2 linked regions of the Nothobranchius furzeri genome follow. The protein of the gene in region 1 purifies or fractionates together with the protein of each later gene. This does not show direct contact. Links are inferred from orthologs where the notes say so. Each region holds a gene or a part of one and is shown in the gene's direction. Other genes may lie near its edges.

Region 1 (7,891 bases):
CCGGAGCAACTCCAGCAAAGTAGAGTGTCCAACCCCTCTCCAGGTCTCGGGTTCCAGAGCCAATGCAATGTGTCGAGGTGAGTCCGACTATATCTAGCCGGTACCGCTCAACCTCTGCCACAAGCTCCGGCTCCTTCCCCGCCAGCGAGGTGACGTTCCATGTCCCAAAAACTAGTTTTCTTGTCCGGGGATTGGACCGCCAAGGCTGCCGCCTTGGTCTGCCACCCGATTCGCATTGCACCGGACCCTTCATGTTCCTCCTGCGGGTGGTGGGTCCACAGTTGGACGAGCCCATGTATCCGGTTCGGGCTGGGCCCAGCCGGGCCCCATGGGCGAAAGCCCGGCCACCAGGCGCTCGCTCACGGGCCCCAACCCCAGGCCTGGCTCCAGGGTGGGACCCCGGTAACCCTCCGGGCCGGGTACTCCGACTCTTCGTTTTAACCGCCATGAAAGATCCTTCGAACCGTTCTTTGTCTCACCCTTCACCTAAGACCAATTTGTCATGGGAGACCCTACCAGGGGCACTAAGTGCCCCAGACAACATAGCTCCTAGGATCATTAGGGCACTCAAACTCCCCCACCACGATAAGGTGACGGTTCAAGGAAGACTTTCCTGTTTAACATATTAAAGAGGCTTTTTGATATCTTTTACGTTTTTTCTAAAATCGCAGGTAGAAGTTGAGGTACGACTTGAAATTTTCAGAAAAATTCACAAAAGTTATATTGGGGAAAGATAGGAGCGGTGACCCTCCCTTGCTCCATTTCCGGCGTTGTCCCGAGAGAACCGTAGGTCCGATTGAAATGAGACACACGCTGGCTTACAGCTAACGAATATACCTTCGTTTGGAACTATAATTCATGACTGTACTCCGAACATTGTGGTTGTACGGTTCATTTGTTTGAGAAAATTCAAATTTAAAAAAATGCCTCTCACCACTCTAAACTGAAAATGCCGCAACTTTTGAACTTCACATCCACTGTGAACAACTCTTTACTACCCCCAGCAAATATTTCTAAATTCACAGTTCAGCCAATTGTAAAAATATACCCATTAAACTATTCTCATTCAAATGCCAGTGTCATGGTCTCCGTCAGCCCCCTTCCTTTATGTGCCTCCTGGTGTCCTCCATCCCTCTCTAGATTCCCTCTTGTGTCCCTTTGTTCCCCCAGCTCCCCTTGTGCTCTCTTAGCGCCCTCATGTGTCCTTGTCTGCATCCCTGTTATGCGTCTTATGTTGTAGCCCTTTGGCGCCCTCTTGTGTCCTTTTTCTGTGTCAGTTTCTGTGTGTCAGTTTATGTGCCAGTCTAGTGTCTGATGTTATCTTTTACTGTTTCCTCCCAGGTCAGCTCCAGCCTCGTTGTCCCCAGCTCAATGTGTGTATGTACTATGTCCTCCTCCAGCTAGGTTGTGTTAGTCCTTCCCTCTGTCTTTAGGAAATTGTTGTTTAGTTTTGTGTTAAGGTATTTGCCATCCTCTGTTTCTGTTTTCCCCATTGAGTTGATTAGTGTCACCTGCCTTCCCTCCAGCAGCTCACCCCACACACCTGCTTCCTGTTTCCCTGATTGCTCCTCCCAGTGTATTTAAGCCCTGTCTGTCTCTGTGTTCTTGTCGGTCCATTGTTGCTTGTTAGCGTTATAAGTCCTGTCAGTCTGCTCGTTCCTCTGGTGTTTTTTGACTCCCTGGATTCTTGGATTTATTCTTTATTTTGGACACATCCTACAATAAAAGGATTTTCTTTATTTCAATTCCTGCTTCGTGTCATCCTGGGTTTTGCAATTTGGGTCCTACTCTCCTAAACGTGACAGCCAGCTGTTTAACATTTAAAATTTCGAGTTTTTAATCAATGTTCAAAGATTAAAGTTTTCTGGTGTTTAGCATTTTTTTGTCCATTCTTCACCTATATTCTGAGCTTTATTACACTTGTTGGGGATTTTTGCTTCTAAAGCTTTAAATACATATTTTGACAGTTTAGCTTAGTTCCGCTTCACTTCAGCTTTTCAGCAGCTTCAGCAATTAGTTTCTGAATTCAGCATATGATGCTAATTTCAAAGTTCAGCTAAATGTAAAAATTCAACTGATAAACTAGTCCTACTGAAATAACAGGTGTTTAGACATTTTAGCTGTCCAGATTTTTATACAATGTTCACATATTTCAGTTTTTTGCTATTTAGGATGATTTTTCTCCATTCTTCACTAACTTTTTCTCTTCAAATTATTCTGGTGAGTGCTGGTGCTGCTGTAACAAGTGAATTTCCCCACTGTGGGATCAATAAAGTCTATTCTATTCTATTCTATTAAGTTTATTTATATAGCGCCAAATCACGACAAGAGTCGTCTCAAGGCACTTCACATAATAAACATCCCAATTCAGGTCTGTTCATTGAGCCAATCAGAAAAAATGTTTCCTATATAAGGAACTCAGCAAATTGCATCGAGTCACTGACTAGTGTCAGAGTCTTTACAGCAATCCTCATACTAAGCAAGCATAAAGCGACAGTGGAGAGGAAAACTCCCTTTTAACAGGAAGAAACCTCCAGAGAATCCTGGCTCAGTATAAGCAGCCATCCTCCACGACTCACGAGATAGATAGATAGATAGATAGATAGATAGATAGATAGATAGATAGATAGATAGATAGATAGATAGATAGATAGATAGATAGATAGATAGTAGGCCTACTTGTCTTGCATTAAGTTATTTACCTGAAATGTTGAAGGAATAAACCAACCGTACATAACATAAATGAACTAAGTCTAAAGTCAAATCGATAATGTGGCTCTATGCAGGTGGGTAGTTGGCAGAGGTATGGACTTGAGTAACATGACTTGGACTCGAGTCAGACTTGAGTATTTATTTTAATGACTTCTGATTTGACTTGATAAAACCTATAAAGACTTACAACTTGACTCGGACTTGAACACCAGTGAATTGCTACTTGAATCGACTTGCATCTGTTGACTTGATGATGACTTGAGCATATTTGATATTCAGCACAAAAGTGGCACGACACGGACGAAAATCATAAATGATTCTTTGTTCTGGGTTTGATCTTGTTCTGCCAACTGCAGCAGCACTTTGTTTATAATCAGTTTCAGTTGCACTTTCTGCTTATTTGAGCAAATAAATTCAGTTTTAAGAAGTTTTATTTCTGGAATTTATTTATTATCATTGTCATTAAATTGAAGTTGGACAGATGACTTGATTATGACTTGAAAATTCAAAGTTTAGGACTTGGACTTCCACATCATTGACTTTGGGCTCGACTTGAACTTGGTTGTCTTTGACTTGGACTTGACTGGAAAGACTTGTGACTTACTTGTGACTTGAAAAGCAGTGACTTGGTCACACCTAGTCTGGTAGTTGGACATGTGGTAGAAATGGCTCTTTGGGTTGTAATCACACATGTCGTGTGACGCTCTTGACGCTTGATGTCGCCAGAGGATCTTAGAATCTTCTGCGCATGCTCCACAGCTGTTGTTTACTAACAAGATAAGCTAGCGGAAGTGAGCTTTCCAAGCCTCTTGAGGCACATTTTTGTGTTCACAATGTCTGTGAAGCACGCCATTAGCCGGGGGCTGGAGTTGGGACGCTCCTTCCTTCAGCTGGGTCTTCTTAAATCCCGTGGCCGAGTCGCAGCGAAGCTCCTAGCTGAGCGTTTCCGTGCAGGCCCGTCGGTCCGCACCGTTCAGCCTCAGGCTTTCCTGCCGTCCCGGTACCGGTATTACCGCACCTCCCTGAAGGGGCTGGCAGCCCAGCTTCAGTACGCCGGCTTCAGGAGGAGGTTAACCGGCGGCTCGCCTCGTAACAGGGCCCTGTTTTTGGCTTTCGGTCTCGGCGTGGGTCTCGTCGAGCAACAGCTTGAAGATGACAGACGGAGTGCGACAGCCTGTCAGGAGATCCAGGTGAGGTTCTCTCGAAACGCAAACTTGCAGTCATGGCCAAATATTAATGATTCAAACAGAAGTTGAAACGAGAAGAGTTTGAGAATTTCTCTGGAAACCACAGTGAACCAGCATGATGGTGGCCTCCTGAGCAGCAACAGTGGGCTGCTAGAACATGAGCAGGATGTCGAGGAAAGCTGTGAGCTCATTTGTGGAGGAGTGGAAGAGCCATGACTGCGGGGTTGGTGTGGTCCTGTTCTCAGCATTGAATGCAAAGAACCATCACATCTTCAAATGCATTGTTGTTTATGTGTCAGATAAATACACTCGGCTTGTAGTGGGGGACCCAGACAGAGCCTTGGGGAACACCCAAAGAGCAGATCAGATGGAAACGCTGAGTTTGAAGAGTAGGTTCTGAACCAATTCTTTCTCCCAAACTGCAGGCAGTGTTCAGAAAGAAAACGTTCCAGAGCCCTCTCATACCGTTCAGCTCTGGATACAAGCTGGAAGACTACATCATTGGAAACCAGATTGGTAAAGGTTCAAATGCAGCTGTGTACGAAGCGGCACCTCAGTTTTTTAACTCAAAGGAAAGCAATGGAGAGCACTCGCTGGAACAGGTCAGAGAAGACAAAGAGGATGTCCAGATGGTGAGATCTCCAACGTGCTGCTCTCTGATGAACTTCCCCCTGGCTATCAAGATGTTGTGGAACTTTGGGGTGAGTCATTCAGGTCCAAAGAAAAAGGAAACTTAAAAAAAAACATAAAAACGACTTCTTTTAAATGTCATTTGTTTGCAGGCAGGGTCTTCGAGTGAGGCGATATTAAAATCTATGTCACAGGAGCTGGTTCCTTCTGGTCCTCTTGCATTTAAGCCAGAAGAGGAAGAGATCACCCTGGATGGGTAGATGTTTACACATTCTGCAGTGTAGTGCAGATCTGAGGACGATAGTCATGCTTATGTTTGATCTCTCTACATGCAGATATTTTGGAGTCGTCCCTAAAAGGGTCTCTGCTCACCCTAATGTGATCAGAGTTCACCGGGCGTTCACTGCAGATGTGCCGTTGCTTCCAGGAGCTCAGGAAGAGTATCCAGATGTGCTTCCAGCCAGACTCAACCCCGCAGGCCTGGGCAACAACCGCACTCTTTTTGTGGTCATGAAGAAGTGAGACCCGATTCCTAAATGTGAAATAGTTTGTGAACAGACTTTTGGGGAAAGAAGAAGGCCAGCAGATGCATTCAAGTGGATCATTCTGGTCATTTTTCACTTTTTGCTGTGCAGGTCATCCTCAGATACATAAGTGTTGTTTTTTGCTTCCATAGTTATCCCTGCACACTGCGACAGTACCTGCAGGTGACCAAGCCCAGCTGCAGGCAGAGATCCCTGATGGTACTGCAGCTCCTGGAGGGGGTGGATCATCTGTGCCAGCAGGGCGTCGCCCATCGGGATCTCAAGTCAGACAACGTGCTGCTGGAGTTTGACTCGGGTCGGATTTAAAAACACGAAGCTTCCATTAGACGCCATGTTTCTATCTGTTGCACTAAAATGATTTTGTTTGGGTTTTATTCTTCTAGGTGGTTGTCCTCGTTTAGTGATTACTGACTTTGGCTGCTGTTTGGCTCAGAGTGGCTCCAGCCTACAGCTTCCCTTCAGCAGCCTGTGTGTCAGCAGAGGAGGAAACATCTCGCTCATGGCTCCTGAGGTACGCTTCACCTCTTCTTTATCAGGATCAGAGCCAGCTTTAGCTGTTTAGTTCCTAAGGTCAGATCAGCAAACAGAAAAATGTCTCCAACTTTACTGGTTTGATTATATTGAGCTGAGAATTACTCACAAAACTTACTGGCTCAAGGGCTTGGGATCTGTTGGAAAAGTTCTTGATTAACGTGGAAACACGTGAAATTAGTATGAGTAGAAAACAGCACAGGCTAGTTAGGAATTAAGATTTTAATTGAAACGATGCTTATTTTCTTTAAACTTTAGTTTTCATTAAAGGGACTTTACGGCGTTTTGAATTTTTATGCTCGCGATTGCCCCCTCAGGCCAAAAGCATAACGGCAGCTTCAATAGTAGGCTCGTGCACGCATGCTGTACGTGCACACTCCTTAATGAAAATAACAGCTGAGACAGTCCCGTGTGTGTGTGTGTGTGTGTGTGTGTGTAGCCGGGAGGACAGGAGAACGCACAGCTAATTAATTAAATAATTTGGTTCTGTACCTTTCTCTTCAGCACAGCCGACAAAGGTTTATGATGGGTCAGTCCTCCTGCATGCTCAGATCATTCCCTTCCCTTGCTTGAAAAATTGTTCCAAAATGAAAGTTGAACCCACATCTTTTTTATCTGTGAATTCAATGCCGTTCGCCAAGTCTCAAATAAAAATTTGGGCATCTTACTGTAAAAAAATATACCATTAATGTAAAAAATAAACTATGATCACACCCAGAATCGAACCCAGGTCTTCGGCACGAGAGTCCGACGTCTTACTAGGTGAGCTAAAATGCCAATGACATCCTTTGTATCTGTAACTTTTATATCCTTGATGACAGCTGAAACAACGTTCAAAGAACGGTTCGGAGCGAAAATGGCTATTTTGTTGCTAATTTGCAGGAAATATCTAGAAGGAAGTAGCTAAGGGTGCTCAGAAATGTAGCTAGCTTTGTCACTAGGCGTTAGGAACAGCGACAAAGTGGCACTGCCTCTCTCTCTGCTGCTAAAGCTACGGATAGCAAATGCTACGGGCGATGCCTGAGCGTGAACACGCATGAAGCAGCCTGCTCGACCCGAGCATCTCTCTTTTTCTGTGATTTTACAGAAAAACAGGCAATCACAGTAAAAATGCCAGGGCTCATTCTACAGGACCAGGGCATTGCAGGAGAAAGTATGAAGAAGACATTTATTATTTCTATACATGTTATGGCTGTCACACTTCCATAATGCCCCTTTAAAAACATAAAACACCTTCAGCGACACTTCCAGCCTGGCCGACTCCAGGTGTACCTGCAGGCGTCTAACGAACAAATCAGACCCGCCGAACCGTGTGGACCACCTTGAACACAACACCAAACACTCCGGCTGTTCCTGGATTTCTCTGAGGCGGTGTGTCTTTACCTGCTGTGATGGGTTATTTGTCTCATCAGGTGGTCACCGCAGTCCCAGGAAGCGGTGTGGTGATTGACTACAGCAAGGCGGACGCCTGGGCCGTTGGGGCGATCTCCTATGAGATACTTGGAGAGCAGAACCCGTTCTATCAGGCTGGGGGACTGCGTAGCACCGACTACCAGGAGAAACAGCTTCCTCTGTTTCCTTCCAGAAGTCCAGCTGATGTGCAGTTGGTGATACAATTACTTCTCAGGAGAAACCCAGAGCGGGTAAAGCAGGATAGGTCCAGTTATAAACTGATCTCTTACACTTGGAAGCGTTTGTTTTTAATTGATGATTAGCTCTGTTTGCCTCTGTTCTTCCTCCTCAGCGGCCCAGTGCACGTGTAGCGGCTAACATGCTACATCTCAGCCTCTGGGGTCGGAAGGTTTTGGCCAGTCAGGACAGTGCTGGCACGAAGAAACTCGTTGACTGGTTGCTGTGCCAGTCTGCGGTGGTTCTCCTGAAGGGCTGTGCTGGACCCAGTGGGAATGGGGTGGAGGCGGAGCTTCAGAGAAGCTTTCTGTCCAATCTGGACCTGGTGGAGCTGCGCACCGCAATGGGCTTCCTCCTCTATGGTTGGGAGCAGCGCCGCGGCTGCTCTCTGTCAGCGTAGATCCGGTCCAAACCGTAACTCGGACCCTCAAAAAGAAACGCTGGTAGTTAAACTATGGGTGGATACCTGCTGTGTTTTTGTTGTGCTTGATTTAACATTTAGCTGCTGTATGAATGAGCAGTAGCTTAACGCTCATGCGAAAGGCCGGATTTCAGCGTCAGCTAGCTCGAAAACCTTTTATAGCACACAGAAATTTTACACGTTTACTGAAAATGACAGCTCCAGGTCTTCCTGGATTTTTTTGTATGGGATCAAAT
Region 2 (7,963 bases), on another chromosome or scaffold:
AATTGTAATTTAAACTGACATAAAAAATTGTAGACTACCAAAAATGCCAACTTTTACAGAACAAACCATGTAAAAAATAATCAGTGCAGCCATCTGCAATAAATAAACAGTTAGTGGTGACTAGGGAGTTTCCTTCTGCTTGTAGAGTTGTTTTATTTATTATTATGTGAACATGATCAACATGTGTTTGTTGTTGTTCAGGCAGGCCACAGGCTGCAGTGAGCATTTAACAAATCCTAGTTTGAATCAGTAAAAAACGATTCAAGGACTTTTTTCGAACCATTTGAATATTCGTTTCAATATTTCAGCCCTATTAGCTCTGTTAGCAATTAGTTGACCGCATTTAACCGTTAAAATCCCAGTTAACTGGTTCAAAAAATTGAAAACATGCATCATGAGAGCTACATACCTTTATCTTTTTTTTCCCCCTGAATCGAACACCTGGTGGTTTTAGCCTTTTTATGTTCATCTCTTCTGTTTGGCTCTTAACTCAGTAAGTTTCCTTTAGTCAGGACTAAACAATTTGACCTTGATGGGGGGGTGACCACAAAATCGTTTTGTTTTTCCTTTTTTTATTCGGCCATTTCACACAATTCAGAGAAACCTGAAAGAATGATAGGCCTGTGTTTATGATATTATGAATGAAATATGGAAGAAAGTTAAGATGTGATTGACTTTAGCCATGTTAATACAGTTGATTCAGCCCCTGCACGCTCATTTCATTTGGGAAAGACGCAGAGGTGAATTCCCCCGCCGCACCCCTCCCCTTCCTGTTCTTCATAGACACACGGTGCACGTGAACGTTCTCAGTCAGCATGAGCGCCTGCAGCTGCAGGGGGCGCCAACTTGCTGTTTCCAATCCAGACACTGTCATATAACCGATAATAGAAAACCTCGGTGCGGCGCAGATTTCCTTTTTTTTTTTTTTTTACTCAGCGCTTGTGCGCCCCTTTTGTGTCATGAAAAAATGCCGCCCCGGGCAACTGCCCTGTCTGCCCGTGCCTAAAACCGCTACTGCTTCACCCTTTTGTGCTGCCTTGGGTCTCTCCAAACGTGGAAGGAATTGGTCCATCCATTTTCTGTCAGCATTTGTTTTTTCATGTCCCTAAAACAAGCTGTTTTCAAGAGTCCATATTTATGATGTCACAAATGGGGAATTTAGGACAGAACCGTCTCTTACATGCAAGAGACAGCTGCTGTTGGAGGAGCATGCTCTGCTGCAGGCTCCTCTGATATATCGGAGCTTCTCAGCTAATAGCAACCTGAGCAGGAGATGGGTGGGCGTGGCCAAGTGCAGCTTGTTGTTTTTAACCGGATGGTCCAATCTTTGGTTTCAGAATGAGCCATGTTATTGGCCAAGGGATTTAGACAAATACGAGAGAACCACCTCATTATTTATTTTTTCGTTTTTTTAATCGCCAAAATAAATTCATAACTATACATGTTAGAATGTTTTAGGCTATTTTGTTTTCCAAATTTTCTCTAGCAACTTTAACAATGTTCTAACATTGCATTAAAATTGAAAAGAACATTTTGAATTCCCGGTGTAAGAGGGTATAATATGTTGCTTTTAAGCTTATTATACTACCTTTACTTATGACCAATAAGATGTGATATTCTATATAAATATAGGATATCAACCTGATTGATCTTTGAATGTTTAATCAGAAGAATTAGGATTCTTTGCCTTTTCAGTGATCATAAACACACTTCGTATTAATTCAGACAGAGTCAAGAAATGTATTTTCTAAACAAATTAAAAATCATGACCTATAAGCAACTTTATGTGATGGATGAATATAAGTGGATGGAATGTGATGTTTGATGATGGAATGGTGTGTGATGTTTATCAGAACCTTGGATCTAGAAGAAACTCAGGCTTGGTTCTGGGTGTGAAAAGAATTTGTTGTTTGTTATAAGCTGAAGAATTGATTCATCAAAACGGCATCAGACAATTCATGCCGTGCCTATGTACCTATTCCTGGAGACCCTGTTTGGATCTGAGATGTCAAAGAGTCATTGATCCCACTGCACATGGCTCGTAGGAAAACTTCGATGCGACCAAGTCAGTCCTAGGATGCCTCCGGGTCGTGAAAAACAGGGGGACTCGTTTGCGTCTAGAACGGTTGGACTCTTAAGGAGTCGGAACTGTCAGCGTTGTTCTGCAGGAACCGTGTGCTGTGTCAGCTGCAGCGTGCAACAGGTGTGACAGCTTGTCAAGAGATGCGGTGGTTAAAGAGTTTTCCTCTGGTGGCCAGTCCGGAGTTCGGCTCAAAACTAATTGAATTACTCAGCAAGTGATTCTGTTTTAACAATTGCCATATTATGATTACATGGCCAACCAGAATTTGACATGTAAAGGGGTTTTACCAACCAACCTCAGATACACACCTCCCTCAGATACAGTAGCTCTGATTTGTGGATCAGAAAGCAATGTGTCATGAGATTACTTTAGTCATATGTATGAGTGTGTGCTTGTCAAGTCACGTACGTTGATTAAATATATGGGTCATATATTTCATTTCATCCTTATTAATCTAAGCACAGATTAAACAAAACATTTCATTTAACCACATTGTTTATTTCATTATGTGATTAATTAACTCATATGAGCTGAAAGTGTTCACTTTTATTCAGAGGCAGGAGGAATCCTGTAGAAGCGATAAGAGAAAGCTTAAGGCCTTGAAACGGGAACAGTTTTGTTTACAATATGTTATCCATGTGTTCAAAGCTGCAGAGGCCTGAACTTCAGCTGATAAAATAGCAGAATTCAGCAGATTAAAGACACTAGATGTAGACTCATGTCTCCATCTGACTGGATACTGAAGAGGTCAAACTGTGGATGAAAAACTGACCATTTCTGGACGTTACAATGGAAAACAAAAGATTTTTGGATATAGAAAATGCGACTGATTTTTAGCGGTCTCTTGTTTACTGTGGCAATGTGGGTTCTGGTATCAAGGGACTTGGCTTGGGGATGATAGCCAAGGGAGGGGTGAGCACTCCGTGACCATGTTTGTGTTTAAATTCTAGTTTGTTTTAGAGATTTGTTATTGCAGGTTTAAAGTGACAGAGCTCTCAAATGGCTCATTCTGGAAGGTACTGAAAATGTAAAGAATAATAGTAATCACTCCTTGTGAGAGAACATTATAAACCTGTTTTGTATTGACCACAGATCTATTATAACTATAAGTTAAAAAGTAATAATATGTCCCTTTATTGAGTTATTTTCCACTTATAAGGTATTTTTCAAAACTTTATTTAAATGTATTGAAATGTTAACCTCACCCACAAAACGCCTGTTAACTTTAATAGATTTTATTTAGAAGCTTAGACTCACCACTTCATATATCAAGTAATTGAGAAAAAGGGAGATTTTTTTTCCATCCAAAAGAGCTTTGTGACCTTTCTCAGTTTTGTTGTGCACCTTAGAAGGCATCTGGCCTCAGAAAGCCAAGTGTGTGTTCTGATCTAGGATTGGAGTCTGGGGGTGTCAGTCAAGTTCTACTTGGCGCTTTTTGCAGGAGGAGGGGGCTATAAATAAGTTCTGGAGAGGGAAACGCCTTTCTAGGGCACCGCTGATGCTGCAGAGGTGAGGTGGACACTCTCAACAGAACCCAGTAAGATGTCCTACAGACCAGCTCCTCATTCTTCCTACAAAAAGATGTTCGGAGGGGACCGAGCCACGGCCCGGACCAGCTACTCCAGCCGCCAGTTCTCCAGCCCGCTGCGCTCCTCTCGGGTCTCCTACGGGCTCTCCTCCGCTCCGACCACCGTTTACGCAATGAAGACGCAGAGGCTCCGGAGCAGCGCGGCCATGCCACGGCTGGCCTCCGAGAACCTGGACTTCTCCCTGTCCGACGCCATCAACAGCGAGTTCATGACGAACCGCACCAACGAGAAGGCGCAGATGCAGTCGCTCAACGACCGCTTCGCCAACTACATCGAGAAGGTGCGCTTCTTGGAGCAGCAGAACAAGATCCTGCTGGCGGAGCTGGAGCAGCTGCGGGGCAAAGGCACGTCCCGGGTCGGGGATCTCTACGAGGACGAGATGCGGGAGCTGCGGCGTCAGGTGGACCAGCTCACCAACGAGAAGGCCCGGGTGGAGGTCCACCGGGACAATCTGGCGGATGACATAGAGAGGCTGAGAGAGAAGTAGGCGTGGCACATGTGGCCATGATTTCCTTATTGTTATTATTCATTTCTGCAGCTGTTCAGATGAGTAAGAAGTAAAATCAAAGAAGACAAAACTGAAAAGAAGAAGCATGGAAGAAAGCTCCTGCTTATGCTAAATATAAAATAACAGCTTTCTCTGTGTTCTCCCCTCCTGCAGGCTGCAGGATGAAATCTCCCAGAGGGAAGAGGCAGAGGCAAACATGCAAAGTTTTAGACAGGTATGAGATAGAATGATGACTTCAGCTAGCTAAAAAATGTTTCTGTTTTGTTGCAAAATTGCTCAGCTTTAATCAATCAATCAATCAATCAATTAATCAATCAATCAATCAATCAATCAATCAATCAATCAATCAATCAATCAATCAATCAATCAATCAATCAATCAATCTTTATTTATATAGCAACTGCCTTTGCAGGAGGCCAATACGCTGAGCATATAATACACTTAAAACATGAAGTGTAAAAGCAGCATAAAAGCATTAAACCAAGTCACATAAAAGCCAAAGGATACAAATTAGTCTTCAAATGACTCTTAAAATCCTGTAATGATGGTTTAATATCAAATGGAAGCTCATTCCAAAAGAAGGAACCAAGACCAAGAAAGCCCGAACTCCTCTAGATCTGTACCTAGTATTTGGGACTGTCATGTGAGGGAGGAGATGGCAGACAATGTGTGGTGGAGAGTTCAGGAGGCAGGAGAGCAGGCACAGATGAAATAAAAATGGATTTAATAGTAAACGGGAGCGACAGGACAAAACGAGCACATGCACATACAATGATCCGACGAAGACTGGTACAAGGAGGGAGATATAAATACACAGGGAAATCAGGAAGAGCAGAGTAATGAGGGACAGGTGAGAACAATAAGGACTAATCAGGGCAGGAGAAAGACACAGTCAGGAAGGCAGGGGCAGAACATGACAGGGACAGTCAGTAGCGTAGAATTTGTGATGGGGTGTCTTTTTATTAGTTCTGCCAAATATGGTGGAGCATCACCATAAAAAGACCAGAAGATATAGCAGAGAACTTTAAACTTTGCCCGAAAATCTACAGGGAGCCAATGTAATGAGGCCAGCACAGGAGTGATGTGTGCCGACTTCCCTGTCAGAAATCTGGCTACAGAGTTGTGAACCAACTGCCCCCAGCTTCTCATAACTTTGACCCAAAATCCCCAAATCGATGACGCAAACCTCCAACTGTGCAGTGGAGTGCATCCCTTTTCTCTTTTAGGTAATCTGTCTAGTTTTGGCTCATGAGCCACAGAGGCAGGAATGCACCGCTCTGATGACACAACAGCAGGTTCCAGACATGATTCCGAACAGTTAAAGAGTGCCCTGGCCTGGCTGGTACAAAAGGCCAAGTTTGCTCTGCTCGATTGGAGTCTGACTGGTCTGATGTGGTTATCAGAGCGAGAAGACGGGCCACCGCGTGATCCGGCTGTCTCGTTCACATAAGAATTTCTCTTGTTATGGTTCTGTTCCCTGTCACTGGTTTTCCAGTTGATAGGTCATGTGAATAGAGTTATATGGCGGTTACTGTACACAAATAGGTCAAAAACATCACTTTGGTGAATAACTTAAACACATAAATACACATTTTGTTGATTTTATGTTTTTTCGGTGCAGATTTGGGCTTAAATCAGGTTGTTGTATGGCAGGAAGGAATTGCATGAGTGGTCTGCCTCCGTGGCAAACAGACAACAATGTTTGGCCAGCAGCCGGCTCCTGCTCAGTCAGGCAGACAGTCACTCTTCCAGCCTTTGGGCATGTTTTGGAACCCCTGCTGAATGGTCCACATTGTTTGTGGCATTAACACATGGGCAAAGCAGCTTCTGTTGCTGATACCTCAATCAACGGCCTGCCAACGCCCCGATGAAGCTGTGCACTGGCACAACAACAGGTTTGTTTCATTATGGGTTCTGTCTTCCAAAACAAAAGCTTCGTGCTTAATTAAGTGGAGGAATGAAATAATGACTAAACATTCCATCACTGTTGGAATTTTTAATTTCATTCAGAGAAACTAGAAGGAAATTTCACAATAAACATAAATTTAGCTTATAAATGGGCTTAAGGACCTTTTTAATTATGTGGTTTGAATGAGACCCTTTACTGAATAAAAAAATTGGAAAATGGAGTCATTGATGTGTTTTTTAGAATAGTTTAATTTTTTAAATGCATTAATTCAACACATTTTTGATTCACTAGAGATATGAATAATAAAATGCTCACATAAGTACGAACGGCATCCTCTAGCATGTGGCTTTGCAGTCACAACACATGACAACATCCACTCTTTAGTGACACACATCATGTGCCTGCAGTTGATTTGTATTGAATGCATGTGTGTTATCTGCTACACAATGGGACATCTGTGTGTGGGGAAACACTTTAAATGCTCTTTACAGCACATGCAAGTGCATTTCTTTAAAAGTCCCTGCCAGCAAATGCATCATGAATAATTCTTGTCACCTTTACAAGTCGCCTTATTAAGAGTCAATGTCGTGGCACAGGATGTGGACAACGCTGCCCTCGCCAGACTGGACCTGGAGCGGAAGGTCGAGTCACTCCAGGATGAGATTAACTTTCTCAAGAAGCTGCATGATGAGGTAAGCTCTCCCCGTTTTCAGCTGAATCGCTGTGCTGCAGGAATGTTGCATGTGCACTGCAGTTTGTGAAAGACACCTTTATGGAGAAAGCCAAGCCAAATCATTTCAGTTATTTCTTAATCCACTTAAACGCCAATTTAGCTGGATTTCGAGCTTTTCCCAGAGCACAGAGGGACATTAAAACAGACTGTTCTGTTCGCCTCGCTGGTTCTGTTGCAGGAAATGCTGGAGCTGCAGAACCAAGTCCAGCAGCAGCAGCACGTGCAGGTTGACATGGAGGTGGCTAAGCCTGACCTGACGGCGGCTCTGAGGGACGTCCGCCTGCAGTATGAAAACCTGGCCTCCAAAAACATACAGGAGTCGGAGGAATGGTACAAATCCAAGGTGATATTTCAAGAAATGATAGAGTAGAATATTTAGTGCATGGCCATTTATTATTTTTATTTAGTAAAAATGTCTGCATAACAAAAACATCCTCAGCCTCAAAACTACAGCATCATGCATGGTCGCCTTTCATGACAAGATCTTGCAAAATTTCCCCACTTCACCCCTCTCACTGCACTTCCTCTCCTTCAGTCTCTGACTCATCATTTATGGAAGAGTCGAATTGTCAGCCATGTCTCCTTTCCCCTCCGTTTGCAACTATGATTTCTAGTTTGCTGACCTGAACGAAGCTGCAGCCCGGAATAATGAAGCTTTGAAACTAGCCAAGCAGGAGGCCAATGACTACAGGCGCCAAGTTCAAGTCCTCACTTGTGAAGTGGATGCCCTGAAAGGAACTGTGAGTGTGCAGTTTTCGTGCATCTGGGACTGGGAGCAATCAAACTGACAACAAATAGTTAAAAGGAGAAGCAGCATATTCATTCACGTTTGGCTGTGGTGACAGAATGAGTCTTTGGAGCGTCAGATGAGAGAGATGGAGGAGAACTTCTCCTTGGAGACCGGCAGGCACCAGGACACCATCAGCGGCCTGGAGATGGACATTCATAACATGAAGGATGAGATGGCCCGGCACCTTCGAGAGTACCAGGACCTTCTAAATGTAAAGATGGCCTTGGACATCGAGATCGCCACCTACAGGAAGCTGCTGGAGGGAGAAGAGAGCCGGTAAATGAGAATTTGCTTTGAGCCTTCATCTGTTTGTTAGTAACCTGTGGAGTGTGTCTTATTTTTGCAGAATCT

What was found. The genes of interacting proteins can lie anywhere in the genome.
Region 2: the proteins of pink1 (region 1) and vimentin purify together in Homo sapiens (affinity purification with mass spectrometry; 3 studies listed by BioGRID and IntAct, with this or other methods). This does not show direct contact. The link is inferred for Nothobranchius furzeri from reciprocal best matches to the Homo sapiens genes PINK1 and VIM.

What each region holds. Positions count from the first base shown.
Region 1 is NC_091755.1:38,778,014-38,785,904, reverse strand, and holds the start of pink1 (serine/threonine-protein kinase PINK1, mitochondrial), read left to right. Parts: upstream 1-3,453; 5' UTR 3,454-3,545; coding exon 3,546-3,902; intron 3,903-4,324; coding exon 4,325-4,600; intron 4,601-4,681; coding exon 4,682-4,785; intron 4,786-4,864; coding exon 4,865-5,047; intron 5,048-5,205; coding exon 5,206-5,369; intron 5,370-5,457; coding exon 5,458-5,585; intron 5,586-7,017; coding exon 7,018-7,248; intron 7,249-7,349; coding exon 7,350-7,634; 3' UTR 7,635-7,891. UniProt on the Homo sapiens protein: Serine/threonine-protein kinase which acts as a sensor of mitochondrial damage and protects against mitochondrial dysfunction during cellular stress.
Region 2 is NC_091751.1:47,674,827-47,682,789, forward strand, and holds the start of vimentin, read left to right. Parts: upstream 1-3,477; 5' UTR 3,478-3,625; coding exon 3,626-4,155; intron 4,156-4,333; coding exon 4,334-4,394; intron 4,395-6,685; coding exon 6,686-6,781; intron 6,782-7,000; coding exon 7,001-7,165; intron 7,166-7,436; coding exon 7,437-7,562; intron 7,563-7,667; coding exon 7,668-7,888; intron 7,889-7,958; coding exon 7,959-7,963. UniProt on the Homo sapiens protein: Vimentins are class-III intermediate filaments found in various non-epithelial cells, especially mesenchymal cells. Vimentin is attached to the nucleus, endoplasmic reticulum, and mitochondria, either laterally or terminally.